Notamacropus eugenii: one gene and its partner. The protein of the gene in region 1 interacts with the protein of each later gene in a biochemical or structural test. Links are inferred from orthologs where the notes say so. Each region holds a gene or a part of one and is shown in the gene's direction. Other genes may lie near its edges.

What was found.
Region 2: the proteins of BLNK (region 1) and CD79A form a complex in vitro, tested with the Homo sapiens proteins (2 studies listed by BioGRID). The link is inferred for Notamacropus eugenii from reciprocal best matches to the Homo sapiens genes BLNK and CD79A.

Annotation. Positions count from the first base shown.
Region 1 is NC_092872.1:212,970,125-212,986,561, reverse strand, and holds the start of BLNK (B-cell linker protein), read left to right. Parts: upstream 1-6,277; 5' UTR 6,278-6,507; coding exon 6,508-6,554; intron 6,555-16,437. UniProt on the Homo sapiens protein: Functions as a central linker protein, downstream of the B-cell receptor (BCR), bridging the SYK kinase to a multitude of signaling pathways and regulating biological outcomes of B-cell function and development.
Region 2 is NC_092876.1:25,696,379-25,712,815, forward strand, and holds CD79A (B-cell antigen receptor complex-associated protein alpha chain), read left to right. Parts: upstream 1-7,119; 5' UTR 7,120-7,181; coding exon 7,182-7,239; intron 7,240-8,608; coding exon 8,609-8,908; intron 8,909-9,999; coding exon 10,000-10,118; intron 10,119-11,923; coding exon 11,924-11,992; intron 11,993-12,134; coding exon 12,135-12,248; 3' UTR 12,249-12,699; downstream 12,700-16,437. UniProt on the Homo sapiens protein: Required in cooperation with CD79B for initiation of the signal transduction cascade activated by binding of antigen to the B-cell antigen receptor complex (BCR) which leads to internalization of the complex, trafficking to late endosomes and antigen presentation.

The DNA of each region.
Region 1 (16,437 bases):
GCATACAGCAAGTACTTCATAAATAATTATTAACTGACTGACGTTGATGCTTGATAAACTTTTTATTGCTCTTTCCTCCCAAGATGCTTAGTACGGAGAGGACTTGGGCTCTGAATGAAAGAGTATGGAATTTCTGAAAGGAGCATTTGGAAGAAGAAAAAAAAGGGACAAAAACTCATATTGCTGTGGACACATGAACTTTATCCTATCAAGTCTTTGGGAGACTGAGATTTCTTCTCTCTTTCTGCTAAGTTAGTCAATCAACAAACATTGATTAAGCACTTATTATGTGCCAAGTACTGTTCCAAGTGCTAGGGATACAAAGAAAGGCAAAAAACATTCTTGCCCTTAAGTAGCTTATAGTCTAATAGAAGATAATAAACAAACAATAATATACATACAAGATATAGATAGCTCAACAGATTGATTGATCAATTGACCAATCCATAGATAGACATATAGGCAGGATACTGAGTAGTGATAGAGCAATTCTGCCAGAGTATGAGGAGGTCTTATTAACTTTGTTGATGCCTGACTCACACCAAAAAAGAGATTCAACCACTTTGACCAAGATACTTCTACACACTTGGTCTCGGTTTCCCTCTTTTATATAATGAGGGGAGTGAATTGGATGATACCACTTCCTTTCCAAATCTAAAATTTTTTCTTGTTCTGGAGTCAGAGGGCCTGAGTTTGAATCCTACCTCATATCCTTCCTAACTCTGGGTCTTTGGGAGAATCACTTAATCTACCTAGATTTCAGTTTCCTCATCTGTTCAGTGAGGGGACTGACCTCTGAATTTGAGGTCCTTCCAATTCTTAATCTTTGTCCTATGACAAAAGTCAGACGTCTTAGAGAACCAAAAATGTATTGTCATTGAAATCAGTTTTTACCTTGTATATGCCGCAACCAGCATAGGGTCATGTGATTCTTAGATCTTCAATAAATGCTTATAGAATAGGATTATGAAAGTCCCCCTACCAGGGGTCTGTAAACATGATTGGAAGGAATTTATTTTCACTAACTACCAACTGAAATTGAGCATTTCCTTCAATTATTTAAAACATTACTCTGAGATGGAGTCCATAGACTTTACCAGACCATCCAAGAAGTTTAAAAATCCCTGTTCTAAATACTTGTCAAGTCGCTGAGAGATTTCTATTCCATCAATGAGTTACTGTAATGCACTTGGTCAATGGGGCTTTCTTTGGCTGTCGTAGTGAATTAAGGCTGATATTAACTTAGGCCACAGAATTTTAAATAACTAGAATGGATAAAGTAGGAATTACTTTACCTTTCTTCAGGTAGACTAAGTCCTTTGCTTGGATAGTATCCATCCCATATACTCCCTCATTTTAGTCATTTAAAAGCCATACCTCTTCTCTCTTCCCTTTACTAAAATGACAGTGGGTCTTCTTTTATTTTTTTTAATTGTGCCCCTTAAAACAGGAAAGTGAAAATGCTTGCTCTCTACTCCATTTCCTTCTCCTTCCCTTCTCCCTCCCCTTTTCCCTGGCAGCCTCCTCCTCTTCCTCCTGCTGCTTGCTTCTCTCCATCCAGACAGACCTTTGATCTGGTGTACACCTATTTCCAGCAGCCAGCACCAAGAGCTATCATCTTGGATGCTATAGTTAAAAAGCCTTGTAAGAGGTTCCTTCTCAGAAGATAAAAGCAAAGGGGGAATAAAGAGAAGGAGAAGAGGAGCTAGTGAAGAAGGAGGACTAGAAAATGAAGTATGGGGGCAGAGGAAGGAAAGAGGGGGAGAGAAAATGAAGGGGGAAGGAGGGAGGCAGGAGAATATAATGTGTGTGTTACACCAAATACCCCCAATTAATCGAAAGTATATCCTGAAAAGTGAGACCAAAAAAAACCCTTTTTTACATGAACTTTTCCATAAAGACTGTAATAAAGTTTGAGTATGAGGATAGGAAGGGTGGAGTAAGGCAAAGGGCAGGGAGAACCCTGGAGACACATGTTGCCTACTTCCTCATTTTCCTCAAGGCTGTGGCTGGCAAGAGTGGGAGAGGTCATGCTTCTGCTGACCTTCCAAGCAGGAAGCTCCAGATGACCCCCTCTCCTTCTGCCTCAGCCCAAACTAGCCAGACTCAGGCTCTTAAGACCCAGCTTCCAAGGACTGCGTTGAAGCAAGGCTCTTCAGGGCTCTTGACATATGGGGAGTAGAAGACAAAAAAAGAGTGAGATTGTCTTCTGGGAGCTACACCCCACCTCTATGAAGGCAGTGACACCAGTTCTGAAAATGTGTGCTCTTGTTTGGCCATAAAACTGTCTACACAGCTGGAACTGGGTCACCAAACACAGCCACAGGATGCTAGAACTGTCAGGGGACTGGGAGCTCATCTAACCCTGCCCCTTCATGTCACAGATGAGGAAACAGAGGCTCCAAGTGGTTAGTGAACTGCATGATAGCAAGTTGGTGGCAGAACTGGGATGTGAGTCTGGTTTGGGCCCTTTTCTTTCTGGCCTGGTTTATTTTAATGTGAGGTATTCCTCACACTTAGCATTCACTGCTTAACAGTGTAGACAGGCAGGGCCTTAGAAGCATACTCAGATGCAAACTGACCTCATTTCAGCTCCTCCTGGATCTCTTACTAGTTTCAAGGAACTGAACAACAGTATACAGCAGCATGGCACTGTGGGAAAATCCCCAAACATAGTTCTAGTCTTGTTTAATAGTTGTGTGACTTTGGACAAGACCCTTCATCTCCGACCTTCAGTTTCCTCTGGTATATAAAATCTGAATGATAATATTTATACTAACTACCTCTAATTGGGAGGATTACTGTAAGTTAATATATGTTTGTTTGCTTCCATATTAATATAAATGATATTTTACTACTTGTACAATTCATATTTAAAACATTTAGTAACCCATACAGTGTGAATTTATATATATGTATGTGTACACGTAAATATATGTGTATGTATATACACATATTCTTATTTGTGTCTAATGGTAGCCAGCTCTAAGGTAGGGAGAGAGAAAAAATGGGGGGAAAAATTTACTTGATAATTTTATCATATGTCTAAAAATAATAGCAAGTTACACATAATAGATTCGCAGGTTCCTATGCAGTCATCTTTTTAAATTATACTATGTTACGGAAATGCGTGTTTTATTCCATACATTAAAAATAAAATAAATATTTTAAAAAATGAATTACTATTAACTCATATACACATCAAATCTAATTTTCACATTGCTACAGATTTTGATCAAGCCATCTTTGAGGCCAAAATTATAGTTTAATTCCATGATCCGATTCACTCAATTATACATTTCCTATTTGTAGTCTGTGAAGATTATGAAGACACAGCCTCAAAGTTCATTTCTTAGATCAAAAATTCCTTGAGGGCAGGGACAAAGTGTTACTTCCTATCTTTGGGAGAGGTCTAGCACAGTGTTTTGCATATTTATAAGGTGTTTAATGAATATTGAGTTGATTTATATGCCTCATACTCTGTTCAGATGGAAACATGACCTGATTACCTGTATGTATTGAATCTACTACCTTGTGATTGCCAAGTGTATTTTCTGGTGTCTTCAGTTTTCATTTTCATGATTTGCTGATTGATCATTAAAGATGACTGCAGTGGACAATAGTCCACTGTGATGCTCATTCATGTTCTGACAAAGTCCATTCCATGCTTAACTGGAGATTTGAAAACTCAGACTTTCATTTTCATCAAGCAGGACTTATAACAGTAAAAATAAGAAAGACAAATGAAGGCAAAAAATAAAAAGCAGAAGTGTGACCTTCAACATCAGGTTTCATTCTCTGGGGAAATGAAGGCTGCCTCTACAGGTGCTCAACAGGGGACTTGGTTTAAGGAGGCTGGCTGACTCTTTCTCAAAGTGATTCAGTTGAAATTTAGCTTTCTGCCTCTCTAAATCTAGTAGTGGGGTTCAGATGAGCAAGGTCTTTCTTACCTCTTATTTCTTTAAAAATAAAGTGCATTGATATATTTTCTTTTTATGAAACTTCATTTCCAATACATCCCACGCTCCTGCCCTGCCAGAGAGTCATATCTCAAAGCAAAGAATCAAAAAGAAAGAGAGGAAGGAGGAGAAGCTATTCAGAAACATTATGCAATATAGCAACAAAGTCTGGTAGGCTGTTAATAATGCCTCTTGTCAACAACTTATTTCAAAGAGTCCAGCAAGTATTCCATTTTATGTGTTGTAGATACATCTAACCCTGTGAACCATTTCACAGATGAGGGAACAGAGGCTCCAAGTAGTTGGTGAATTGCATAGCAGCAAATTATTGGCAAAAAGTCCCTGCCCTAAAGGAACTTATCTACTTTTCTTTAACATTTTTCTGTTTTTTGCTTTTTCATTGAAAGAGCATCTTGACAAATTTTGAACACAATTTAGGACTTAGTATTCCCTCAAAACTACGTGAAAGGAATCTTTTTTTTTTTTTGGAGGAGAATGGAACAGAAGGCAAGACTGTTCAGAGATGGCTAGCTTAATAACCTTGGGTTGTCAATCATCTCTATTGCTGGTAACCTAGGTAGAAAACAGGGGATCCACCCCTCAGAAACTCTAATGTGCTCCTGAACTTCCGGTTGAACAAGAAATGAGGCAGAGTTTGGATGTGACTAAGCAAGGCTGCCCAAGTTTCCAAGTTTCCTTGAAGAGAATTAGAAACTCTTAGAGAGGGAAGCTTTCCATTCAACCTCCTCTCTGTAATTCAGTTTAATACAGTTCTCCCCTACTCATCCTTTAATCCCAGAAACAAGTCCTGAGGGAAGAAAATGAATATTAACATAACACCTTCATCACTAGGAGTGCTCTCTTTCTTAATAGTAAGTGTAAGATGTTCTTAGTTGAATGTATGCAAAGCAGATGGGGAGGAAAAAAATTTAATAAGAGATTTCCTCATCTGTAGAATGAGGGGGTTGGACCTACAGGCCTCTAAGATTTCATTTAGCACTTAATATATGATCCCAAGTCTGAAGCGCCCAAATGGAAAAAAGGATGGTTTTTCCCCCTTTCTTCTCTCCATGATTTTTTGAAGTCAAACCATCCTCCCACCTCTGGAAAAAAAATTGGGGGTAGGGACCCAAAAGACTTTTTCACTCCTTCTGAAGGAGTAAAATGAAGTGGAATTCTCAATCTCTCATCCCTCTTCACCCATCCCCTTCCACCTCCAGCCCTGATTTAGAGCCAGTGGGGATTGACTCAATCCTACTGAGATTCTGCTAGATGAGGTTCCCCATTTCTGTTTCCAGGGAAGGAAGTTAACATCACCCCAATCCCTTCCTCTCTCTTTTCAGCCCAGCCCTCAGTGGAGCAGTTAGTACAGGTGGTAGAAACTAAAATCATATGTAGGCAGAAGTGGGCCCTGACTATTATCTGTGCCCAGGTGCTTAGGGTCAGGTAGATTGGAAAAGTGCCATCCATTCATTTCTGGAGAATAGGTGCCCACCCTTGCACAGAGACATAAAAATATCCTCAGATAAAAATGCCTTTGCTTGGGGAAGCTCAATGTTTTCTTTGGGGTCTTTTAGTGGAATTTTGTCTTTGAAAAGTACAGCTAGCAGCTGGCAGTTTCAACCTACTTCCATCCAGATATAAGAGGGAAAACATAAGCATATCATTGTATTTATCTCACTGCCTGCAGCCCAGGAGGAAAACCCCTAAATTATCTTGAACACAGGGAGGGCAATTCAATTCAAAAACCTCTCAAGGGCATTTGCTCGATAAGCTACTTACATTAAAAATTCCTATCACCGCTGTCTTTTTGTGTATTGTTTTTAGAAAATTTTATTTGGTTTTCGGGAAAACCAGAGTTGTGTAAACAGACCATCTGCAATAAAGGGAGTATCGATTTATATAGATGTATTTAAAAACCCATCTAGCATAATTCCAGCTTTGCTACTTAGTTAGTACCTTGGTGAGCTCTAGCATCATTTGATTTTTCTGAACCTTAATGTCCTCACTGTAACAGGAGGGAGTGGAACCAGAGGTTCCCTCCTGCTCAAGACTTTTCTGACATTCCACCAGAAGAGCCCCTTCTGCATTCTCCTCCAAAATTTCCCGCAGCAGAGCCTCAGTGCCCAGAAGTGCTGACCAGCAAACAGACAGATCCCAGCTCTGGCTACAAATCTCAGTGTGTATGAGAGGGAGAGAGAAGGAGGGAGGGAGGGAGGAAGACAACCGGAGGAAAATTTGCATGCCCAATCAGTTTCAGAATTAAAGTTTACACCATGCCAAGTGAGTGGGCAAGGCTGATGAGATCACATGACTGTGTAGAAACATGAAACTTGCCAGTGTGCTCCAGCCAGTTTTACTTCTCCTAGAGTCGGAGCGGAGCGCTCCCGGAGGGACTCGCATTCACTGTCGGGCTAGACTCCCCGGGCTCCTCCTTGGCTCTTTTAACCAGAGGCTCTCCGCCACCCTTGCTGTTCGTGTCAAGACAGGCTAATGTTGCCCCTGGAGGGGTTTTGGTTCACCTTGTGACTGGGAAAAGGAAAGGAAAATGGAGAGGCTTAATAGGATAGCTGTGCCAGCTGGGCAGAAGCTGAGGTAAGTTTTCGCTCGTCCCGATACTAAAGTCCTGTTATCTAAAGACAGTGACAAATCCCATAGGGGAAAAAGTTTTCTATCTCTCTACCTATTTTTTTTTTACTTTTCTTTTTTGCTATTTTTCCATTTTTCTTTTTCTCTTTTCTTTCTTCCTTTTTTCTTTTATCCTGGCAGTTTTTTCTTCCTTATCTATTTTTTCTTCCTGCTCATCTTTTTCTGTTGTATCTATGCTGTTTCCTTCCTATCGTTTTTCATTCTACATGTCTATTTTCTTCCTACCTATCTTTTTAAAAAGTTTCTTTGCTGTTTTCTTCCTACCTATCTTTTTAAAAGTTTATCTACATTATTTTCTTCCTATTTTTTTTTTTATTCTACCTACCATGTTGCTTTCTTCCTACCTATCTTCTCTATTGACATTGGTTTCTTTTCATCTTTGTCCAAGTGAATCTGCTAAGTGGCCTTCAGTCCATGGCCACTTTAAAAGCAAAAGAAGACAAAGAGCACAAAGTGAAAGCTAAAGAGACTTAGGCGCTTTTTAAGAGCTGGTTTTCACGCTCTCTGATTCCAAGAAATTCTGCTAGAGGTTCACTCACTGGTTCTGGTTTGGTTTTTTTATAATGATGATTGTAATTCTGTGGCTAGATTGTGGGCTATGTTGGATGAGTCCAGATATGGATACATTCTACACATGTGTTAGGATGATAGAGATCATGTGGTCAAATGGGCCTGGCATCATGAAAATCTGGAATTAAATTCTAATTATAACACTTATCAACCTCATGACCCTGTGCAAGTCACTTATCCTCCATGTGTTTCATGCAACTCCCTAGTACTAAATCATAGATGGATTGCCTTCTTTTAATTACAGACTCTTTACATATTCATATATTTTAGGATTAGAGGTAGTTTTTCCTACATCACACCATTCTAAGTAAAATCAGGGAGGCAAAATCCTATTGTAGTGTTTGATTTTTTTTTAAAGTCCAAATATCATCAATTGATGTAGTAAAAATGGGTCTCTTGAAAGATAGAAATTTTTTCTGGACTATGGAAAAGACAATTCCAAGCTTTGGTTTTAAAAACTTTTATATAAGGATATTTTAACATCAATGCAATTCACTAATTATTGCTTACAGTTTGGCTCTAGAGAAAGGCATTTTAAAGAGGGGTGTATTCTAGCAAACTTCACATGGGTTTTTATGATGAAATTACATATTAGAAATCCTCCTCCTCCCATCTTAGGGATGCTCTGATGTACACAAGAGAAATAGTCATTACTGCTGATGATGGCAATTCAATAAAAGTAGGACTTCTCTGAAGTTCTTAGGACTATGGAGGACCTTTGTGTCTCTTAAATACTGATTCAGTAATGACAGTAATTCAGTTCAATAGTAATTACAGAAAAGCTTCTATAGGCTAACAGAATCCTAGAATAAGGGAGGGAGAAGGGAAAGGAAGAGGGAATAAACGTAAGTCTCTATAGTACCTATTCTCTCACTAAAAGGACAAGCCATAAATGAATTGATTAATTCATACAAGGGAGGATTAGATGCAAATGTGAAGGTTACAGATGGAGAATCTTGTCAGACTTCAGAGAAAGTAGACATCAATGTGAAATGGACTGAAGAAGTTTAAGAAAAACTTCCTGAAGGTGGCACTTGAGTCGCACATTAAGGAACAAGGAGGATTTAGATGGAAAAGAGGAAGGAGAGAGAATGCTGGGAAGTTGAAACAAAATGTTCAGAGGCATGGACATGAAGTATTTGCTGGACAATAAGACCTTATGACCTTTCCAGAGGGTTCAAGTTAGAGAATAGTAGGAGACAAGGTTGACTAGATGGGTAAGGATAAATTACAGAGAGTCTTGAAAAACAATGGAGAATCTAGACTTTACCCTTTATGCCAGTGGTTCCCAGGCTGTATGGCCTACAGATCATTGGGAAGCTATTAATTATCAGACCCCAATCTGTGTGCACTAAGCACTAGTATTACATCATTGTGTATATTCTTAGTCAGTGGATGCTAATAGTAATGTCGTGTGGATCCATGAAAATGTTTTAATATTAAAAAGGGGTTCTCTTACTATAAGGTTGGGCCACAGTTGCTGTATACAAAAGGGTGTCCCTGAAGGTTGTTGAACAGTGGAGAAAAGATTAACCTGGCAGCATGTGGGTTTTAGCCTGGGGGATAAATCGCTGGGTGATAACTTCTGAGAACCTAGTTGGGTGGCCAGTCATAGTCATCTAGCCGTGAGATTTTGATGTCCTGGACTAAAGTAGCAGCAGAGAGAATAAAAAGACAAGCATTGATGTGAGAGATATTTCCCAGTGAGATTAGATAAGCCCTGATAAATATAAAGAAATCATCTTTAATGATGTCTCTGAAATGAATGAGGGATTTCAAGAGCTACCTTAAGCAATCACTGGTGGGGGTTTTTTTCAGTGAATTCAGATAAGAGACTAAGTAAAAGGCGTTAAATCTCTACCATTTTGTGCCCTGCCCTCCCTTTCAAATACAAGGTCTAGCTTGATTACAGAGTGGAAAAGGGAAGATATGTTATTGTAGATTACAGGGTAGTACATGGTGTGTGTGTGTTCATCCTTCATTGCTGAAGAAGACCATGCCATCAGAGAAATGATGACATGACTTACACTTGGCGTTTGTTTTATTGGGTTTTTTTGAGTGAGGGAGGGCTGTGCAGGTCACCAGCCTCATTTCTCCTCCAGAGCCGTCTGAATCCAGTGACCAGATATTCATCAGGATGACTGGAGATGGCCCAGGATGAGGCAATATGGGTTAAGTGACTTGCCCAAGGTCACACAGCTAGTGAGTGTCAAGTGTCTGAGGTGAGATTTGAACTGTGGTCCTCCTGACTCCTGTACTGGTGCTCTATCCACTGCACCACCTAGCTGCCCCAAGTGACTTGCCCAGGATTATACAGCTAGTGAGTATCTAGGGCTGGATTTGAACTCAGGTCTTCTTGACTCCAGGCCCAGAAATCTATCCATTGTACCACTTAGCTGCCCTGTGTAGTAAATGGTAGTTCTATTGTGAATAATACATAAGCTGGATTTGACCTGAATTTTTCACTTAGGAGACCACTATAGACATTGTAGGCCTTCATAGTTAGATGATAAATGGCTAAATAGATAGATATTGTATATGATAGAAATATGGTCACTTGTGATTGAGTAAACATGCTATTGAATGTGCTTTATCTGTTCTCACATCATTCACAAATGATTTTTAAAATTTTTGCTGAATTAAGAACCCTTTGAGAGTTCATGTTCATTTGAAATGAAGGCTTGGGACATGTCTACCTATTTCCATCCATTTTATATTTCATTATGTTTATTGTATCCATTCATTTCCTCATAACTTGCCAAGTAAGGAAACAGTGCAGATAAAATGCTGAGCCTATTAAATGATATTCCTACTTTTGGAGGCCTCTGGGAGCAGCTTTGAAGAGTTAGTTTTCAATGTCATTGTGAATTAGGGAAAACTGGTGGTCTACCAATTTTATAAATAGGAAAATTAAAGCATGGTGACATTAAGAGGCTTGTCCAATCTACATAGGATCTAGTATATCACTAATTCAGGGTAAATAATGCAAGAATTTTGGGGTACAGTGACTAGTATTATTAGACCAAATTCACAAAATCTCCATGATAACTTAGTAGATCTGGTCACATAATGAAATCATCTGTTGGAAAGTGGAGGGGCATTTCCCGAACAGGGAGATGGCATTCATGACTATTCTAAGATCAGACAGAAGGAAAACCAACCTAGATAAAAATTAAATTTGTTTTTCTCCTCTCTGCATCCATCATGATTTTCTTGGCGCCATTAAGGAAGTAGAGTGGGAGAATGCCAATACTAACAGCAGGCATTTAGGATGTTTTTTTACATATGATCTCACTTCACTCTTACATCTACCTTGTAGGTAAGTGATCTAAGTGCCCCTAATTTGAAGATGAGAAAACTAAGTGAAGAGAGAGAATTATGCATAGAGGAGAAATGGCAGTGAAGGAGTGCCTCTCTTCTCCTCCATTATACTGAAGACATAATTACAGTTCTCTGCTCTCCTGCCACAGTCAGTCAGTCAATCTACATTTATTAGGTGCCTACTATGTGCCAGGCACTGGGCTAAGATCTGGGGATACACAAAAAGGCAGAAGGCTGTCTCTCCTCTCAAGTAGCCCACAGTCTAATGAAGGAGACAACATACAAATAAATAAGTACAAATATGCTATATCCAGGATAAATTGGAAATAATCAACAGAGGGAAGTATGCTAGAATTAAGGGCGGGTCAAGAAAGACTTCCCGTAGAAGGTGGCATTTTGGCTGGGACTTGAACGAAGCCAGGAGGTGGACATGAAAAGGGGGAGTACTCTAGGCATAGAGAATAGTGAGTGAAAATGCCCAGAATTGGGAGATGGAACTGTGTGCAGGGTCAAGCCCCTACTGGGCACCTGAGAACTTTCCCAGTCTCCTAGCACAGAAGAAGTTAATGAATTAAAGAAAGTATAGCAGAGAGTTCTTTCTGAGGTTGACCCTGAGATATGAGAGGAGGGACAGAACGTTTGGCAATATATGTCTCTGTCATGGAGGAAACAAAAAAAAAAACCAAAACAAACAAACAGCTTGGCTAAGCAGATAAACAAGATGAGACAATTGAAGAAACTTAATATGGTAGACATTTTATTATATTTGCTTAGATGAATGAGTCCACTATAAATTAGATAATGTAAGATATTAAATGTGTAAAAAGAGGTGTGAATGTGTGAAAAGACAAAAGAGAATTCTAGGGGGGGCTAAAAGAGAGATATGGTGAGTCCCTGGATGTAGAACCAGGAGAATTTTGGAGATTGGTTTGCCTAAATCCTTCATTTCATAGATGAGGACACAAAAGCCCAGGTAGCCAGTAGCAGAGGTATGTTTTGAAACTAGGTCTTCCAAGTCTATCCTCAGAGTCCTTGTCATACACCATATTGCCCTGGGAGAGAAAAGTATATCAGTGCAAACAGAAGGTATGGATATCCCTGAAGTGAGCATGCTAACTTCTAATTTAGCAGTGAGTATATTCCTTAAGTAATTCAGATTTGTTGAGGAAATCATTTCTGAATCTTTCTGAAAGACAGTGCCGAGAGAGAACAGTTTGTTGTTTTATTTCCAGACCCCTTTCAGACAATGAAAAGAGTCCTTTGGGCAGAGGGATGATTCTCATTTCTCAGGGCCTCATTTTCCTCATTGAAATGAGAAAAAATAGTTTCTCAAGTACCTAGCATAATTCACAGGGTTGCTATGAGGTTCAAAGGAGGTTAATTTTGGGGGTGGGGGTGAGAATTGCAACTTTAAATGTACTATATGGATTTCAATTATAATAAAATGACTACAGTAAATGAAAATGAAGCCAATAACTTTAAACATCATGTTGCATAGTTTCTCTATACATACATCTATACATAAAAATTGGCAGTTTTAAAATTTGTTATTGGTTAATAAAGAACTTATTTTTTGCTTAGGGATATGAACCATTGAGTCACTGGCATGTTTTCTCTGTGTTCATACAAGTCTCAAGTGTACCAGTATGTTTCATAAAAACTCCCCTGCTAGCACATGGTGGCAGTAAAATAAATAATCATTAGCAAAGTGCTAGCTTTTTAGAAGCCTACATAAGATCTTCTTCTAGACCTTAGCAATAGAGAGTAGTGGTGAATGCCACTCATGGTGGGTACCATCCCACGGGTACATTTAGCAGAACTGAAAAGATGGGAAGGACATAGGGGAAGAGGCACAGAATGAGAAAGGAATTGGGTCTCCCAGAAGGCTTCAGTGTGGATGAGGGGACTTTGAAGTGAAGAGAGCTTTGGAGCTTTCCTGGGCAGGTTTTGTACCATGAGTGAAACTTCTTCGTGGAAAAAATCTGGGGCCATGACATCACCTCCTAGGACACATGGTGACAGGTGCATGGGCAGATCCACGCTGATGGTTTCACCTCTCAAGGACGTATTTATCCATGGATACAAAACAAAGGTATTTATATATACTACAAAAGTCAATACACAGGCACAGAGAAGGCCTGGTTGTTGAGCCAATAGACAAGTATTTCCCTTCCAGATTAATTCAAAATGTCCAAAAAGTGTAAAACTCATATTCAGTGTGATTTATAATGAATAAATTTGGAGACTTTTGTATGAAATATGCATTATCATAGCTATGTTTAGTTAAAAACTCAAGTGAGCTGGACATTCAAGGCTCAGCTGGAATTTTCTTGATCTTTTTACTCTGTAAAAAGAAAAAGAAGTCTAATGTAGTTATTGAGAGTTACTTGAAGGAAATATACACAGATAAAGAAAAATTCGTGGAAAAGAATGTCTATATTTTTAAAAAAAATACTTTGACAAGGATCTACATCAAAGTATGACTTAAGAAGAAAAGAAAACTGAAAGTATTATGTAGGATTGGGGCAATATTTTGTCCTGGTTAGGAACTAATGAAACCTAGAAACAGGTATGTTAGGGATCAATAAGCATCGACTAAATACAACTCGTGTAATTGCCCCAGAGCCAACAGTATAGTCTAACTTCTTCCACTTTGGCAAAACTGATCCAGAAGAGAGAGTTTAATGGCCTCTAACTTTGCAGATAAGGCTCTCAGGTAATGAAAATGATTGTGCTAACAAAGGACAAACTTCAGGAAGCTACCACCAGACTGGGCCTGGAGCAGAAAATGGCGGAGAATCCTGCTCTTGGGCAAAGGCAAGGTCACGAGTTTAGAGAGAAAGTGTTTAAGGCAGGAGTCCCTGCAGATTGCTGCCTAAAGTGAAGTAATCACTCCAGGCAGCATTCCAGACTCCTTAAAGGGTAGGAATCGTTCTGTAAAATAACTTTTATTATTAAACCTCTTGTTTAAAAATTGAATGTTAAGCATCCCATTAAACTTGCTTGGTAACTATTGTCATTTAAGTTAATTTCAACCGAAAGTATGACTTCTCATTCACTTCCTCAAAACATTCCCATCAGAATTCTATTTATTCTCATTCCCTTTTCCTCTTCCATGGATGTGGAAGTTTATGTGCCCTCCATTTTTGTGATCAACAAACAGATTTTTTAGTACTTACTATGTGCAAGGCACTGTGCTAAGTGTTGGAAATTCAAATACAAGCAGAAAGAAAGAAAGAGAGAGAGAGAGAGAGAGAGAGAGAGAGAGAGAGAGAGAGAGAAAGAGAAAGAGAGATGTCCCTTCGAAGCTTACAATCTGATAGAGGAGGACAATACATAAAAAGAAACCTTAAGACTGGGGGTGGGAATCTCACAAGGGAGCAGAGGAGAGAAAGTGAGGCACAGTCTGGAGAGGAATGATAACAAAGATGACTTGGACGCTCTCCTTAAAAGGAGGTTCTGTGAGGAGGTATCCAATCAGAGGAAGAGGCCGTTGGGACTGGTGGGTACTGCCAACGTGTGAATTGCAGGGTTAGAGTTAGTTTCCAGGTTGAAGAGGTTTCTGGGGCAAAGTAGAGAAAGTCCAGAATGCAGTCTACCAAGGCATGAATTATATTGCTAGTTATACTTTTTTGTCTTTGCCCTCTTTCGTGAAAGTCTTTTCCAGATTTCTTGTACTCATCAGTCTTAATGGTATGATAGCTCATTGAATTAATATGTTGACTGTTTTTTAAAACCAGCTTCATGATTACATTGGTGTAGTGAAAAACTCCTTCTGCTAATCCCTGTTGGGGGCTTTAGAGAACTGTCTGAGGTTTGGAAAAATTAAGTGACTTGCCAGGGTCATATAGCTAGTCTGTGAGAGAGACAGGACTTTAATCCAAACCTTCTGGGCTCTGAATCCTTCTTCTCAATCCAGCATGAGTATGCTTCTCAAGATTAATAAACCATAATATATTTAATCACTCAAGAGGTATAATATTTATGGGTAAATCAGACAAATATTTATGAAGCTATTTTAGTTTCCCTTGTACCACCTCTTGGGGCTAACAAATTCCATAAATGTCCTTTGCAACAATACTGTCCTCCTTTGCCTTCAGGCTGGCACTTTCAAACTCTTCAGGGATTCTCTTCATTTTATATTTTACTATTGAGAAAATAAATTTAAATTTACTTTCTTGGTACCTCTCCTGCTCTATCTACCACCATACTCTTACAAACCTTAAGGCTGTAGCTTTCCGTACTCTTCAACCTAAAACTCTGATTGCCCTTAGTCTGTTCACATACAGAAATCCCTGGATCACCCCGATCATTTGAGTTGTCTTTCTCATGGAGGCCAGAGAAGTATGTAGTGTTCTGAATATACCCATGGATTTATGCTTTACAAGGCTTTCTATTTTACTGCTTATGTTAAGGAAAGGGAGGAATACTTAGGGATAAATAGGATAAAGAACAAATTTTTGCAAAATTTCCCTTGATACTACGGTCAGAGTGGTTATTGTGGACCATTGGTCTAAACAGTTATGGCATTTCTTAAGTTTTATTGTCCATTCACATCATAATTTTTTTTTAGAAAGTGTCATATCAGGATCACAAGAAGTAGAGGGCAATTGCTCACTTCCTTAAGTGTGGATTCCTCCCAGTGGAAGGAAGACTCCCGTGGCATCAGATTTATGTTCTATTTATGGAGTCTCCTGCAGGATTTGATCATAACCTCATGACCACTGTAATCTGAATAGCTCCAGTCAATGTCTTGGTTCACCCCTTTTCTTCCCCACTAGCACGGACTATGAGGGCCTCTCCTAAAAGAACCCACCCTGCACAAGATTCTGCCTTGGGACTAGTGTGTGTGGTCCAGGAACCCAAGGAGACACAGATGAGGAAGAGAGCCCCCAACTTTTACATAGGAGAAGTCCCTCAGTTGTTGAGAACAGAACAAAAATCAAAATGACCAAATGTAGATGACTCACAAGCAAGCTGTTGCTAGTATGGAAACCTAGGGAACCTTGATCACTAGATCGCCAGAGGAGATTTGCTTCTTCTTGTGGCTCCTGTAACGATATGGCAATGGGTCCTATGGGAGAGAAGCAGGGAGTGAAAGAGATGTTTGGTGACGTGCAGAGGGATTACCTGGGCCTATTTATGCCATCAGATCTTTCTTCCTTCTGACCTAGGCTCCCTTTCTCCCTGCCCCAGCCTCCTTATTTCTAAGTACTAGCACTGTGGCTGTCTGATTGTGTAGTAGCCTCACCAAGAGTTTGCTGGCCTTCTCCTGCCAGTCTGTTCTCCAGAAGTCCTACTGCCTCTTTGATTTAAGAGGATCTTTACTCTTCACAAGCAGTACTCTTCTGTCCCTAGAGGAATTCAGGACAAATTGTATTGCTTGTGCCCCTACCACAAAAGGTTTTTTTTGGTTTTTTGTTTTTAAACCTGGTTAAGATTAATGTCATGTGCAGCCTTAAAGAAGAAAAGTCATATTGTATAGATGGATGTCATGCAACTTGAAGGATATGTGGAAAAGGGGAGAGTAGAGTACTATTTCCAGGGAAAAGGTGTGTGTGTGTATGTGTGTGTGTGTGTGTGTGTGTGTGTGTGTGTGTGTGTGTGTGTGTACTTCTTTTCTCTTTTATCAGTAGCAGACAGGTCCCTTTCCTTCCCTTCCACCATATGCCGCTTCTACCACTGGTTCTAACAATGGCGCCGGAACTACTCCCAATCATTACACCTGAGGAGAATGACTTGATTTGTTATGCCCGAGGGATTCCTCCAGTGGTAGCAGAGAATGGCATGGAGGCAGGATATAGAGACTAGGCAAATCAAAGCTGGGGGACCCTGAGTTGGTCTGGGGACTCCTGCCTGCTAGAGTCAAGGCAAGCTGGGAGCCACTAAGATTGTGGCCAAGCATGACACAAGAAGACTGGATCCAAGGGGGAGAGCA
Region 2 (16,437 bases), on another chromosome or scaffold:
GTTTGGGGAGTCCCAGCAGTGCTCTTCTGTAATAGGGCTTGGGATGGGGGGGTGGAGGGGGTGGAGAGTGGATCCCAGGTGTTAAATCCTCTACTCAGGGGATGATCTGATCAGGTGGATTTGGAATGTGCCCAGTGACTGAATCCAAAGAATAGTCATTGTTGAGTCAACATGGAAGGAGATTTCCAGTGGAGTCCTCCAATGAATGCAGTGAGAACTTTCATTCAACCTAGTCCAATGTAATCCAATGAGAAGTACAAATTAAGAGTACCTACCCCTATTGTCTTGGAATGGTTGTAGTGTCTTCTTTACAAAGTGATTTTCAGATCAATGTTTTGTAAATCATTATAGGGGATCCTAGTCAATCACCCCTCCTCCTTCTGAAATACACAATTTTGTGTGTAAGCAAGTATAGTGTAAACACAGTTCTTCCTCAGTTTCTATCCTACCAAATCCACAGATGACACAAAGCCTGGAGGGTTAACTAACTCAAGGGACAACAAAGTCAGGATCATAAATATCCCAAGAGGTTAAAACGCTGGATTGAATTCAAAATAAAGTTCAATGTGAGGTTCTACTTTGGTGTTCCAAAAATCAACGTTCATCCTGCAAGGTGGGGAGAAGAGGACATAGACCAAAGTTCCACTAAAATAGTTCTGGAAGTTTTGGTGGATCACAAGCTCAATATGAGTCCCTAGTGTGAAGTGGCAGTCCCAGAGGTTAACTTGATGGGAGGCTGCATTTTGAGAGGCACATTATCCTCTGAGAATAGGAGGTAATGGTTCCACTGAACTCTGCCCTAGGCAGATTATATCTGGAGTGGAGAGATGAGGGAGGGGTGCCATATTTTAAAAAGAGCATTCTTGCTTGTCCTTCATTTTTGAAGAGGACCAGTGACATCACAGAGTGATGACTTGTGCGTGAATTGGATGTGAGGCAGAGTGATACAATGTCCCCATCCTCGCTGTCTCTTAAATCCAATGACAAGACAGAAGCCAAGACCATTGGCAATGACCCAGGATGCAATAGACATCCTTGGTGTCTTCCATGTTTGACCAAGTGCTCCACAGAGCCTGCTTTAGCCACCTTCATGGCTGTTGGGACATACTGTTCTCATCTAACCATTTGCCATGGGAAGTCTTCACACGCTTGGGGTAGACATCCCCCTAACTCACCAATTTCCATCAACCAGGTTTGGCCCATGTGCTAGGATAGTTTTACCGGGGTGTGGCTGCTGCCCATGATATTGCTTCTTGGAACCATGGGTGAGAGTTGAGTGAATCATGTGGACATCAAAGATGGAAAGCTGCTCTTCCTCCTGAACTCCCCATATACCCCCTAAAAGAGCATAAATTAGCTGGAGAGTATAGGAAGACAACTAGGATGGTGAATGTCACAGAGATCACGCCAAATCTAGAGGAACAAATTAGAAATGTTTAGTCTAGAGAAGACTGGGATGGAGTGGGGGTGGGGAATGAGACCTGTTGGGGGTGTAAGCTTAGTTTTCACGTGAACAATCTCAAGGGTGGGATGCTCTCCCCAGCAAGTTTCCCACTGAGAAGAGGTGGAAAAACGAGATAGCTCGTGTTTCACGCCTCAATTCCCAGCTGTTCCCTGGGGGGCCTCGTGAGAACTCTGAGGTTTAGAAGTCCTCACTTTTACCTGCCCAAGACTATTCACATGAAAACTGAGCTTACACCCCCAACAGAGACCTGACTAAGTCTGTGAAGGGCCATTATATTTGTTCATCTTGGCTCCAGAGGGCAGAACAAGGAGTCATGGGTAGAAGCTGTGGAGACAGATTTCAGTTTGATGTAAAGGGGAAAATTCCTTCTAATTAGAGTTGTCCAAAAGTGAACTGGATTGCCCCAGGACTCACAAGCTCCCTCCTGCTGGAGGTGTGCAGGTGCAGGCTGGATGATCACTTGTCAGGTAGGTTGGAGAGGGGATTCTCAGGCAGGTAAGGGTTGAACTAGTTGGCCTCTGAAGTCCCTTGGAACCCAGAGGTGAGTTTGTGATTCTGAGGCCTCCAGCCAAATCCAATTATCAGCCATTTCTTACCTCTGGGTACCCATTCTATTCTCCTGCAAGGATGAGATTTTAGGAAGCACTTCTAGGGCATTGCTCTTCTGTCCCCTCAGAGATGGGGGATTGAGAGAGAAAGAGGGAGATGAGGAGGTGTGAGGGACATGAGTAAATGAGACACACAGAGGGAGAAATGGATGATTGAGGGAGGTGTGGATTGAGAGAGCTAGAGAGAGAGAGAAGAGAAGAGACTGAAAAGAGAGGTGGAGAATTGAGAAGAAAGAAATGAGGATTAAGAGAGAGGAAAAGAGATGAGTAAACTCAATCCTCCATCTGTTCCTTTCCTTCAATCTGTCTTCCTCATTTCCTCACCTTTCCTCCCTCAGTCTTCCATCTTGTTTCCCCTTTTGCCTGTCTCTGGCCACTCACAGAGGCACCATGTCATCTGAACTTTTGCAGTAGACCTTTAACTGGCCTCTCTGCTTCTAATCTCCCTTCTCCCTCTCTCCTCTCTCTCCCTCCCTCCTGCTCTCTCCTTCCCTCTTTCCTTCTCTCTCTCTGTCTCTCCTTCTCTGTCTCTCTCCTTCCCTCCCTCCCTTCTTCCTTCCCCTACCCTCCTCCCTGCCCCTTTAAGCCAGGGACTGTCTTTTGCCCCTTTTTGTAACCCTAGCACTTAGCATACTGCCTGTCATAGTAATTATTTATTAAATGTTAATTGACTGACTGACCAGCCAATGAGATTGTCCGCAACACACATCCAATTGTCTTCATCACTTGCTCAAAAACCTTTCAAAGGTTCCCTGTTTCCTTGAGGAGAAAACTCAGATCTCTCAGCCTGGCATTTAAAATCTGCCACAACCTGGCTTCAGCCTGCCTTCCCACAATGATGGCGTCCTACTGTTTTCCATGAATTCTGTACTCTAGTCAAACCTCCAATACAGGGGGTTCTCTGCGCTGGATATTCTGCCTCTCACCTCTGTGGATTCATATTAGCTTTTTTCCATTCCTGGGACATACTCAATTCATTTCAGCAAACATTGAGTTCTAGCACCATGCTAGAAGCTCAACAGACTGACTTCAGGGAGCTTACATTCTCCTGAGGAAGATTCAAAATATACACTGATATTTGCATACCAAGTAATGCAAAGTAAATTCAAGAAGGCGAGAGTGCTAACAATGGGGGAGGGGATCAGAAAAAGCCTCTTAGAGCAGGTAGCACCTGAGCTGGACTTTGAGAGGGCTAAGGATTCTAAGAGCTGGAGGTGAGGAGGGAGGGCATTCCAGGCAGGGGCTACCACCTAAGCAAAGTCATTGATGTAAGAGATGGAAACAGCCCAGTGCAACTGGATAGAGAGGTGAAATATGAAATGAGACTGGAAAACTAGGGAGGAATCATAATGTGGAAGGCTCAGAATGCCTAGCTGAAAGGTTTCTATTTTATCCTAGAAGTCATTTAATATTTTTGGGAGGGTAGGTGACATGGTCCCATCTTCCTCTTTGCAATGTCAGTTTGGCAGCTTTGAGGAGGATGGATTGAGAAGGGAGTGGACACAGAAGCACCAATTAGGGGGTAATTGCAAGGGTCTAAAAAGTTACAAGGGGCTGAAGAGAGCCAATTATTAAATTTTCAGTGTGGTATTTATACCTTGGATATTGGCAAAAGGAAGGAAGGAAGGAAGGAAGGAAGGAAGGAAGGAAGGAAGGAAGGAAGGAAGGAAGGAAGGAAGGAAGGAAGGAAGGAAGGAAGGAAGGAAGGAAGGAAGGAAGGAAGAAGAGAGGGAAGGAGGAAGGAAAAGAAAGGAAAGGAAAAGAAAAAAGAAAATGTCTATAAGTCAGGGCTTGGTTTACTATTTTGTTGATTTCTAGACTTAAAGCAATGGAGGAAAATGTTAATAATGCATATTAGACTTAAAAGGGTATCTTATGGAGAACCACAAACTTGGTGGTTAAATATTTACTAGCACACTTCTGTGTGAGAAGGAGCTGGATAGAAGAGTTGTTAAGACTTGGCAGCTGACTAGATAAGGAACAGAATGTAAAATGAAGAACTGATCATGACTCCAAATTGGGAACCCAAATCTAGCGCCTTCCAGAGAAATAGGCTGGTTTGGGGATGTTGAGTCGGAGACGCCTACAGAACATCCAGGTTGAGACGTCCAGGAGACAGTTGATGATATGGGATTAGATTTCTAAATATGGAAGGAATCAGCATAGAAATAGTTCTATCTGTGGGAATTGAAGAGATTGCCAAATGAGAATGTGGAGAAAAGCGAAGAGAGCCCAGGATGGAGCCTTGAAGGATGCTGACACTTAGTGAGAGAAGGATGATGAGGAGACTGAGAAAGCTCATCCAGACAAGAGAGAGCGATGTCATGGAAACCAAGAAAGATGAGTGCCCAGGAGGAGAAGGATGGACATCCGTAACCTGCGTTTCAAAGAAGTCAGAATGAGGACTAACCAAAGGCCATTGGTGTCAGGTAATGAAGACCATTTGTAATCTGGGAGAGGACTTTTCCCATTGAATAGTGGGGATAGAAATCAGATTGCTTGGGATTGAGAAGTGGGAAGTGAGGAAATGGATGAAGTGAGTGGAAATGACCCTTTCTAGAGTTAAGTAGAGAAAAGATAGAGGAGGATAACTTTAGGGGCTGACTGGGTTAAGGGAAGCGGTTTTCTTTCTTTTGATTCTGAATTTAAACATTGGATAAAATCAATCAATGAGTCCCTACTATGTGCTGGCATTTGTGCTAAACTCTGGGAATACAATAAGAGGCAGAAGATAGTCACTGTCCTCAGGGAACTCACAACCTAGTGGAGGAGACAATAAACGGTGAATAAACATATACTAACAAACTACACACAGAATAAATAGGAAATAATTAACGGAGGGAAGATTCAAGAATGAATAGAGATTGGGGAAAGTCTTCCCGTAGATGATAGGATTGTAATTGGGACTTAAAGGAAGCTAGGGAAGTCAGTAGGCAGAGCAGAGGAAGGAGAGCATTCTGGGTCTGGGGGGGAAAGGAGGGACATCCGAAAAGAATGAGAGTATACAGTGAGCGTTGAAGGATTGCCGTGTAGTAGGGAGGACCCAGTTGATATTGGAGAACATAACATAGTAGCCAACTCAGGCTGCATAACAGCGGCGACTCCCTCCAGGGTCAATCTGAGAGGCAACAGTATATCATGTAGGACTGGGAGTTCAATCTTGACATCAGCTGGGTAAGCTAAGGCAAGTTTCTGAACCTCAGTTTCCCCATCTGTAAAATGAACCAGAGAAGGAAATGGTCAATCCCTCCAGTATCTCTGCCAAGAAGACCCCAAATGGGGTCAGGAAGAGTGGGAACACAATTGTGAGTGTGTGTTCATCCTTAGTTGCCAAAGAAGACCATGCCATCAGAGAAGTGATGACATGACTTGCACTTGACTTTGTTTTGTGTGAGGGTGGCTATACAGGTCACCAGCCTCACTTCTCCTCCAGAGCCATCTGAATCCAGTGACTGGATATTTATCAGGATGACTGGAGATGACCCAAGATGAGGCAATTGGGGTTAAGTGACTTGCCCAAGGTCATACAGTTAGGGAGTGTCAAGTGTCTGAGGTGAGATTTGAACTCAGGTCTGATTAAACAACTAAACAATAACATTATAGTGCCTACTATGTGTCGAATACTGTGCTAAGCACTTTATAATTGTATCATTTTATTCTTATTCTTAATTATAATAAATGCAAGGCACTTTTGGTAGGATACAGGCACTAGCAGGGGGAAGGGGGAAGTCAGGAAAGGTTTCATGTAGAAGGTGACATTCAAGCTGAGTTTTAAAGGAAACTTGGATGTTGGGGTAACCATAGATTGAGAGAGGGGAATTGGCAAGACATGAATGACCATGGCAAGGGGTAAGGGATTCATGAAGACCCAAAGGTTAAGATGGGGAAGTGAGGAAAGATATCCAGAGCAGGGGTGATGACCAAGGAGTAGAGGGAGGGATTGAGAGACTGGACATCACAGTCAGGATGGAGACTAGGTGAGGAGGGAGGGTCGGGAGGTGGAGAGACATGGGGGAGGGGGAAAGAGAGAGAGACAGAGAGAAACAGAGAGACAGAGAAAGAGAGAGATACAGAGACATGGAAGATATGCCCAGAGAGGAAATCTGGGATTCTAGATCTGGTGGCCTTGTTCAGCTTGGCCCCCAAGGGCTGAACTAGCTGCCATGGGTGGAAGTGCTAGAGACTGGTTTCATCTTGACACAGGGGGAAGTGCTCCTTATAGATGGAGCAATAGCAGTCACCCAGCTGCCTAGCTGTGGCCAAGCTTGGTCAGCAAAGGTTTCATGGCACACAACAAGGTCCTCATCCAGTTAAGTCTCTTGATTTTATAGCAAAGGAAGCAAAGACCCAGGATGGGAGATGACACCCAAGGTCACACCTGGCAGAGCCAGGATTTCTCCCTGACAATTACAATACTCTACTTTTAAAAGACTTTGTGGGCATGATAGAGCTCACTATATGAGCCCAAGCCCAAGCCTCCAAATGGAGGCTCTTCTAGCCCAGAGCACAGGGAAAGTGATGCCCAGGGTCCACAGTCTCTTAGAATCCTGTTCCTTTAATAATCAGTTCCTGTGGAAAGGGGAAAATCTATCCTGCCTAGAGGCAGGCAGCAGGCATTTGAAAGTTTATCCTCAGGGCCTGAGGGCCCTCTTCATGTGATGCATACATCCCTTACTGTCCCCCATCCTGTTCTCCCATGGGTGAGCTCCATCTGGGGGTCTCCATTGTGGGCACTGGCCTCATTAACCTCACTGCCCTTAGATTTCCCTAGCCTTCCTTGCCCCATCTTCGGGAGCCTTTTAGAATGGCATCTCCTTGAAGATAAGAACTGTCTGTTTTCATGTCCATATTGCCAGCACTCGGTCCAGAGTAAAACACTTGATAAGCCCTCTGGCTTTGCTTGCCTGAGGACCCTCCCAGCTCCAACATACTCTGTCCCAAAGGTCTACCCAGCTCTGTTCTCTGTCTCTGGCCCTGGGGGGGCTGGCATTGGGGGAGCAGTGGAGCTCATCTCCTATCCAGGTGCAGCAGGAAGCCACGCCCTGACAGGCAAAGACAGCTCTCCTTTTTCCACAGCACGATCTCAGCTAGTTGGGGACCCTTTGGGGATGATGTCCAGCCTCATTCCGCCCTTGGTCCTGCTCCTCATCTCTGTTCTGAACCCTGGTAAGTGTTTGAATCAAGGTGAAAGGGGATTAGGGGTTGGGGAAGTTCTGAGATAAAGACAGGGTTTGCGGGTGAGGTTGGCACAGGGAGCAACCAGTGACATCCCTGGGGAAGGACTGGGTGTCTAGTTATGTCCAGACGTGGGGCCTTTTGAGAGCAGGACTCATGGAATATCAAGACAGCTGTTACTTTATAGAGGGAGAAATGGAGATCTAGAGGAGGTCCAAGGTCAAACATCAAACCACAAAACCACAGAGAGACCACGAAGACCATCCCTTTCATCTTAGGGACAAGAAAACTGAGGCAAGGCACTCACCTAAGGTCCCATGTTGAGTGAGTGACAAAGGATTGGATCTCCCATCTCTTGACACCCAGCTCAGGTCTCGGCCCCTTCTACCTGGGCCTCCATTAAACCCTTCAGCAGGAACATGGAAAACAGGTTGAGTTCTGGGGATAGTAAGAAATTGAGGAGAGGGAAAGGTGGTCCAAAGGGTTTGGGGAAGCCAGAGAGAGCAATGGAACAGAGAACAAGATGCCCCTTTGATATGTCAGGCCCACATCTGCCCACGATCACCCATCTATATTTACCCAGGTCCAAATGAAGAAATGAAAGTAATCTCTCCCTCCCCATCCCCCAATCTATAGTGGGTTTGAGGAAGGAGAATTGGGGGGGGGTACCCCAACTTTTAAAATTCCTTGTCTCACTGAGATATAGTAGAAAGTACCATGTCAAATGACCTGGGAGCCTTGTGCATGCACTTAATTCATGTTTATTTAGATCTTCCTCAGTCCCCTGCCTTGTTCTTGTGGTATTGGGGAAAAACCTGGTCCTCTGGGGCCTCATTCTCTCCTCCTGTGAATCCGAGGGCCTTGGAGGGGGTTGGGCTAATAGCTGGTATGGGCCCTTCCTCCACGGGCCAATGATTTGAAGTTCCATCTGAGCAAGCCCCCTTTCCTCTCTGGGCCTGTTCTCATCATTAAACTCACAAGGGTTGGATTAAAAAGTCTCTCAACTCTGGCTCTAATTGTCTGTATACCAGCCAGGGCTGGGAGATGCCAAAGGAAAAGAAAGTCAGAGCTGGTAAGACCTTGAGAAGATGGAATGTCAGGCCTGGGAGGGCCCTTAGAACAGGGGATGTCAGGGCTGGGGGAGCCCTTTGGACATACTATAGAAGGCCAGAACAGGGAGAGCTTGAGTTCAGAAATTGAAATGAATCTCCTCTTTCCAAGTAGGAAAGTAAGAGGCAGAGAAGGAAAGAGGCTCCGAATTCTGTGAACTTTGGCTCCCAGGTTGGAGCTCACTCCACAGGCAGCAAGTTAGGAGGCTGATTCTGATTGGGCTCTTCCTTCACTCTGCCCCTGCCCCTAGGCTTCCTCACCTGGGGTCTGAGAGTGGAGCCTGGCCAGCCCTCCGTGACTGTGCCTGTGGGGGGCACGGCCCTGCTGCACTGCGAACACGATGGGAGCTCCGATGCCAACGTGACTTGGTGGCGAGTCAACATGGATAGCTTCACATGGCCCAGGAAAAAGGTGGAGAAATTCATTCATCCCAATGGGACACTGGTCATCTTGGCAGCAAACAAGAGCGACGGAGGCATGTACCTATGTCAAGTTTCTGTCGAGAATGATCAAGCCTCAGAGTCCTGTGGCACCTACCTCAGGGTTCGTGGTGAGTTCATTCCTTCCCAGACTTCACCTCTGGGTCTCCCAGTGCACCTCCCCCACCTCCTCCAGGGGCTCATGGATTCCAGTCCCCCCAGACAGCCAGAAGTTTTGAGGAATTGATTGGTAGAAGGTGATTTGCAAGCCCCGATACTCTCTATAAGTGAGTTACTATTTTTTAACTGCCATGACCATCCTCTCCCGGATCCGTACCTCTCATGAACACAGTTGTCTTAATTCCTCAGCCTGTCCTCTCCCAAGGAAGATGAGGCCACGGCAAAAGGCTGCAGATTTCCTTCCTGACTGAGGTTTCAGAGGCAATCTCACTCTGCCACTTACCTTTCCCGGCAATTCTCAGCTTCTCCTTCTGTAAAACAGGGCCAGTGAGGTCTGTCCATCTGAATAATCTCTTGGCTCTTCATAATTCTTTCCTCACAATAACCCACTAGATGATGCAAATGGAAGACCCCTCCTCCCCCAGACTTTGGAGTCTGAGGACTCTCCTTTGAGTCCTGAATGTCCTACTTATTTCCCGAGTGACCTTGGGTAGGTCACTTGAATTCTTTGGGCCTCTCAGTTTCTTCATCTGTGATACAGAGGAATTGCACTCCATGATCTCATGGGTCTCTTAGCTCTGAATTTGTGATCCTTAGCAATGAGACTATCAGTATCCCCATTTGGTAAGTGAGGAAACTGAGGCAAACAGGGTGAAGTGACTTGCCCAGGTCACCCAACTAGTCAGTGTCTGAGGTCAGATTTGAACTCAGGAAGATGAGATTCCAGGCCCAGAGCTCTATCCACTGAGCCACCTGATAGGAGGCAGAGCCAGGACCAAGTCTGGGCCTCACTGCCACCCTTTCTCCCTCTCCTGTGAAGAAAACAATGCACAGACCCTAAAAGGTTAGGGGGAGCTGGGATACGTCTGACCCTTTAACTTCCTGCCTCCCTCCTTGCCTCACTGGCTACTGCCTTGGAAGACACAAGCAGCCGGAGCTGGCACTCGGCCTGGGCAGGTGACCCTGGGCATTTTGGTGCTGGTTGGTGCAGGTGGGGCTGTCACCCTCAGTGATCTCTCCCCTCCCATCCTCCCTCTCCTAGAGCCAATACCCAGACCCTTCTTGGACATGGGCGAAGGCACAAAAAACAGAATTATCACCGCAGAGGGAATCATCCTGCTCTTCTGTGCAGTCGTCCCTGGCACACTGCTGCTCTTTAGGGTAAGGCTGCTTTGGGGTCCCCAGGCTCTCATGGCCCTTGGGCCTAAGCCCTTCTGATGCCCTGGGCTCCCCTCCCTTCCCCTTTCCATCCAGGTCTCTCACCACTACTCTTTCTTTCCCCATGGGACCTTTGGTCATGCCCTGATGGACTCCATTCCCCCTGCCCTTCTTTGGGCCCACTGCCTAAGTGCCCCTCTGTACCCATTTCTGGGAGTTAGAAAGGTTGAATCTAGTTAGCAGAGATGAATGGGAAAAAAGGGAGGGCACAGGTCACCTTAGGATGGGTAGTGTGTGTTTGTGTGTGTGTGTGTGAGTGTGATGTGTTTGTGTATGTTTATGTGTGTGGTATGTGTGATGTATGAGTGTGTGTATGTGAGTGTGTGTGTAAGTGTGATGTGTTTGTGTATGTTTATGTGTGTGGTGTGTGTGATATATGAGTGTGTATGTGTGTGTGAGTGTGATGTGTTTATGTGTGTTTATGTGTGTGAGTGTGTGTAGTGTGTATGAGTGTGGTATGTGTGATGTATGAGTGTGTGTTTGTGTATGAGTGTGTGTGTGATGTATGAGTGTGTGTTTGTGTATGTGTGTGTGATGTGTTTGCGTGTGTTTATGTGTGTGGTATGTGTGATGTGTGTTTGTGTATGTGTGTGTAAGTGTGATGTGTGTGTAAGTGTGATGTGTTTGTGTGTGTGGATGTGTGTGGTGTGTATGAGTGTGGTGTGTGTGTGATGTGTTTGCGTGTGTTTATGTGTGTGGTATGTGTGATGTGTGTTTGTGTATGTGTGTGTAAGTGTGATGTGTGTGTGTAAGTGTGATGTGTTTGTGTGTGTGGATGTGTGTGGTGTGTATGAGTGTGGTGTGTGTGATATGTTTACATGTGTGGCATGTGTGTGGCATGTGTGATGTGTGTTTGTGTAAGAGTGATGTGTATGTGTGTGTGGTGTGTATGAGTGTGGTGTGTGATGTATGAGTGTGTGTTTGTGTATGTGTGTGTAAGTGTGATGTGTTTGCATATGTTTATGTGTGTGTGGTATGTGTGATGTGTGCTTGTGTATGTCTGGGTGTGAGTGGGTGTGGTGTGTATGAGTGTGGTGTGTGATGTATGAGTGTGTGTGTGTGGTGTGTGCTTGTGTGTGTGTGTGATTGTGATGTGGTATGAGTGTATGTATGTGTCTGAGTGTGTGTGTGTGTGTGAGTGTGTGTGTCTGTGGTATGTTTATGAGTGTGTGGTATGTGTACTGTGTGCTTGTGTGTAACTGTGATTGTGATGTAGTATATGAGTGTGTGTGTGTGTGTGTGTGTGTGTGAGAGAGAGAGAGAGAGAGAGGAAGCTTCCTGGAGGCAGAGTGTATGGGAAAGCAGCTGCTGTTTCCTGGAGACAGCATTGGATGTTCAGGCAGAGGCCCTGGCTTTAGATCCCAGATCTGATGTTTGCCTTTGGGCAGGGTACCTCTCTTGGCCCCAGCTTCTTCTTCTGGAAAAAGAGGGGGCGAGGTCCGCTGAATCCCATGGTCTCTTCCAGTTTTTAAATCCCACAGCCCTGTGACCATAGGTCTGGGCCAAGGGTGGAGAAGCTGTGGCCTTAATAAATGCCCTTAACAAATGCCCTTAATAAAAAGATTTGTTCTGGAAAACTTGGATTCAGTCAAAGGGCCGCACTTGAGGACCTAGAGAACCACATGTGGCCTCGAGGCTGCAGGTTCCCCACCTCTGATCTGGCACCTATCTACTTCTTTGGACAATCTCTCTCCCTCTCCACCTCTCTGGGCGATCTCTCCCCACTCCCACATTTTTCTCCACTTTAGAAGCGTTGGCAGAATGAGAGATATGCTGTGGATCACTTGGACTATTATGATGATGAGAACCTATATGAGGTAAGGCCCTTTTAGGGGTGGAGAGACTAGGGAGGGAGCTGGGATTAGACTCCCTTGACCCAAGGTGGAGGGAGGGTCCCAGGAGACATCTCCCACCTCCATCCACCAAGGCTAACCTGCAGCCTCCTCCACTTTCTTCTAGGGTCTTAACCTCGATGACTGCGCCATGTATGAGGACATCTCCCGGGGTCTGCAGGGGACCTACCAGGATGCCACTACCCTCAGGGTGGGAGATGTCCAGCTAGAGAAGCCATGATGGCCCTTCCTGGCCCTGCTCAAAGCAGCCTCCCTCCCTTAAACTGCCCCCTTCAGGTCTTTCTGACTGTCCCACTCTCAGTTTCCTCAGGAGTCAGTTTGACTAGATGGTATCTAAGGCCCCTCCCAGCCCTGACATCCCCTGTTCCAAGGCCCCTCCCAGCTCTGATATTCCCTGTTCCAAGATCCCTCCCAGCTCTGATATTTCATGTTCTGTTTCCACGTTTGACATGTTTTCCTCTCTCCCATGATATGCCCCCTTCTCTATCCCCCTCATGCCTTGACTCCTGATCCCTTTTAACTTTCTCCCCTATAACTCTTTCCCTATAATGCAGGAGGTGCTTGAAGCAGGATCCCTCCCCCTAAGTTTTGTTATAGCTACTAATGATAATAAATCTGTGGCCCATGGGGAAGGAAAGGGTTCCATTCTCCATTGGGCGGGATGGACTGATGGTCTGTGTGTAAAACACCATGCCATGGAGATCCAGGGGTTCTGAAACCTAGCCATCCCCACCTTAGAGGTCTGAGCACCCCCATCCTCTAGCCCTGGACATCCTCACTGCCTAGCCACCACACCCTCCTCACCCAGCAGCCCAGGTGTCTGAGCTTCACGTCTGTCTCTTTTCTTAGGACCTGAATCCTCAGTTCTTTGGAAACTCACCCAGCTGGGCAGGTCTCCAGTGTTCCTCCCCAGCTGTCACTGTCTCCCCAAGCTGGGGAGTAAACAAGCCCCATCCCCCACTCCAGCACCTGCTGCTCTACCCCTCCCTTGGAAGTGGGGGTGGGGAAGAAACAGGAAGTACCTATGGGAGGGGGCAGAAGAGGCCCTCAGAGATAGAGAAGAGATGGATCTCTGCGCTACTCAGGGACCAGAACTTCCTGATGCCCTTCAAACATGCTTAAGCAGCTCCTGTCCCACTCCACCTCACCCCATGCCTTATTTCTCTCCTAAAACCAAGATGCTCATCTCTCTGGTACCATCTCCTGTTTAGCTCTCAGTTCCCACCTCCTGTAAAATGAACTTTGGACTTAGTGATTTCTGAGGGTTCTCGGGTCTGATCTTTGGTCCCAACATCTCCAGGGCATATAGACCTCCCTGAGGCAGACCAAGTATAAGCTCACAGGTGATGAAGGATGGTGAAAGGAGGAAGTATGCAGATGGAGATGCTCCACATTCCAGAAGTTCATCTAGAGAGTGTGGGAGTATACCATATGGAGCCATAGATGACCTCCTCCCTTACCTAGCCCAGAAGAAATGGGCTTTTGTGACCAGAGTCCTGGGCAAACTGATCCCATATTCCCCTCAGCTGTAAGGGAGTCAGCTAAGGGATCACTGTCCTAGGGCATGCTCTTTACCAAGGCATCTTTTCTGGATACCAAGGATACCTTTTCTGCAATGTGGAGGGGAGGGCACTGTGTCGTTGTCCAAGGTAACACAGTCAGTATGTGTCAGAGACAGGAGATGAATCCACGTTCTCCAGACTTGGAGGGGACCTTCCCATCCACACCACTAGTGTGAGAAATCACTGAGCCGAAGATTATCTGCAGAGATGGGGAGGGATGGAAGGAGGAGGGAGACCTGACATAAGGAATGAGATAAACAGACAGAGATCCAAAGACAGAGAAAGAACAGACAAGATAGTGAGCCAGCTACCCAGAGACCAACAAAGAGAAATACAGTCACACGGGGAAATAGAGGCTGAGGCAGAGGGCCAACAGAAAGTGAGTCAGATCCCAAATCTCAGGGTCATCCTGACTCTTCCTTCTCCCTCCCGTCTGTTGCCAAGTCTTGTTAATCCTATCCGCACCCTCTTTCCTTTCACCAAACTCACACAGTTTAACTTAGGACCTCACTGTCTCTTGCCCAGATGATTTTAATTGCTTTTGAATTAGTCTGTCTATCTACGATCTCTTCTCTCACCAATCCATCCTTTGCATAGCAGTCAATTATCTAAAGAGTGGAGGTGACTGAATCAACTGCCTTGGTCAAAGAACTTTGGGGCTTCCCATTCCATCTAGGATCTGCTGAGAAGCTGAACGCTCTTCCAGATCTGGCTGCACCCTCCCTTTTCACACATTTCTCCCTTCCATGTAGTCTACCTTCAGTCAAACAGACCCTACTCATTCTTCTCATCTCCCACAATGACACATTTATACAGGCTAGCCTGAATGCCTGCCATGTCCTGTCTCTGCACTTGGGCCTCTCAGAAGTCTTCTCTTCTCTCAGGACTCTCAAGAGAAGGGTGCCGCCTCCTTTGTGGAGCCCTCCTGAACCTCTCCCTACCACGTGACTTCACCAGCTTAAATATATTTTAGAACATTTTTGTGTCTTTGTCTTTAGGTTCACTATTATTATTTGTGGGTAAATAATAATACTAGGATGTAAGTTCCTAAAGGGCAAGGAAACATCTCCTTCTGTGTCTCCTTCCTCCCTTCCTTCTTCCCTCCCTCCTTCTCTTCCTTTCTTCCTTCCCTCCCTCCTTCTCTTTTCTTTTCTTCCTTCCTTCCTTCTTTCCTTCCCTCTTTCTTTCCTTCTTTCTTTCTTTCATTCTTTCTTTTCCCAAGAGTCCAGCATAGGGCCTTACATGTAATAAGAACTTAATAAATGTTTGCTTAATTAAAATGAATTGAATATAAAAACAAAGAGACACAGAGGCCAACAGAGAGATAGAGAAGAAAAAAGAGGAGACAAGAAGAGACTAGGGTGAGAGAGAATGAAAGGGGAGGGGAGAGATAAGAGGACAGAGGAAGACAAGCAGAGAAGAGAAACAGAGAGAGAAAGGGAGAGAGCAGCAGACATAGAGGGTGACAGAGAGGAGGAAAACAGATGAGAGAGACCTCCATAGAGAGAGAAGACAGATGATGGGCAGAGAAAGGCATGAAGGGTGTTTTTTCAGTTGTGTCTGACTCTCTGTGTCCACATTCGGGGTTTTCTTGGCAGAGATGCTGGAGTGGTTTGCCGTTTCCTTCCCCAGCTCATTTTACAAATGAGAAAACTGAGGTAAACAATGTTAAGTAACTTGACTAGGATCACACAGCTTGTAAGGGTCTGAGGCCAGATTTGAACTCTTGAAGATGACTTTTCCTGACTCCAGGCCAGGCACTCTGTGCCCTGTGGCACCACCTAGCGGCCCACAGAAAGATGAAAGGGGGGGGCGGAGAAAGGGAGATAGATAGACAGATGAGAAAAACAGGAGGGAGATGAGAGGACACTGAGCAAGAGAGATGAGAGGGGCACAGAGAAAGAAAGATGAGGGAGTCAGAGAGGAAAGGAAGAGATAGGCAGGCAGGAAGAAGGGAAGACAAGAGAACGACTGAAGAGTATGGTGGGAGAGACAAACAGGGATAGAGGCAAACAGGCAGAGAGACCAGCAGACAGAGTAGGAGGGAGACACGGAGAGGCACGAAGGGTAGACAGGCAGACAGGGAGAGAGACAGACACCCAGGCAGGTGAATGGGCACCGACATAGACAGACAGAGAATGAGAGCCAGCAGGTCCCATGCCAGAGGAAGGGAGGGGCAGGGGGTGGCAGACACATGCTGGGCAGATCTGAGCTCCACAGCGAACAAGGGACAGAGAGACAGAGACAAGGAGGAACTGGGTTGAGATGGTGCCTGGAGACTAGGAAAACAAGAATGAGCAGGAGAGACAGGAAGAGAGCCCAAGAGCAGGTGATGGAGGAAGAGAAGAGGGGCCGCTCTGCACCTCTGACTGGGCTAAGCCTCCCAGGGAGGAGGAGCTCACAGGCACTGGCAGAGAAGGGGAAGGAAGCAGAGGGGAGGAGGTGGGTGTGGGGTGTGGGGGGACCCCTCCCAGTCAGGGCAGGAAGCAGGGAGGGGCAGGAGGGCCAGGGCCTCCGGAAAACTGGCCCAGCTCCGCTTCCTGCCCCGCCAGAGCCAGGAAACCCAAGCTGGGACCCAGGGCCCGGGATCCCCATACCCCCGTACCCCCAAGACCTTTGGGGCTCTCCCCAGCCTAATCCCAGGTACATCTTCTCCCACCTCCTTCCTTTCTTTAGCACCCATTGGGTTATACTTCCGGAGTTCCCTGTTTCCCTTTGATTGCAGAAGACTCTATTACCTGGGAAAGAGGGATGGTTAAGGGAAGAAGGATCAGACAGGAAAAGGAGAAGGGGTGGCTAAGGGGGAACAGACAAGGAGGGATGAAGGGAGAACCAGGTAGGAGGAGG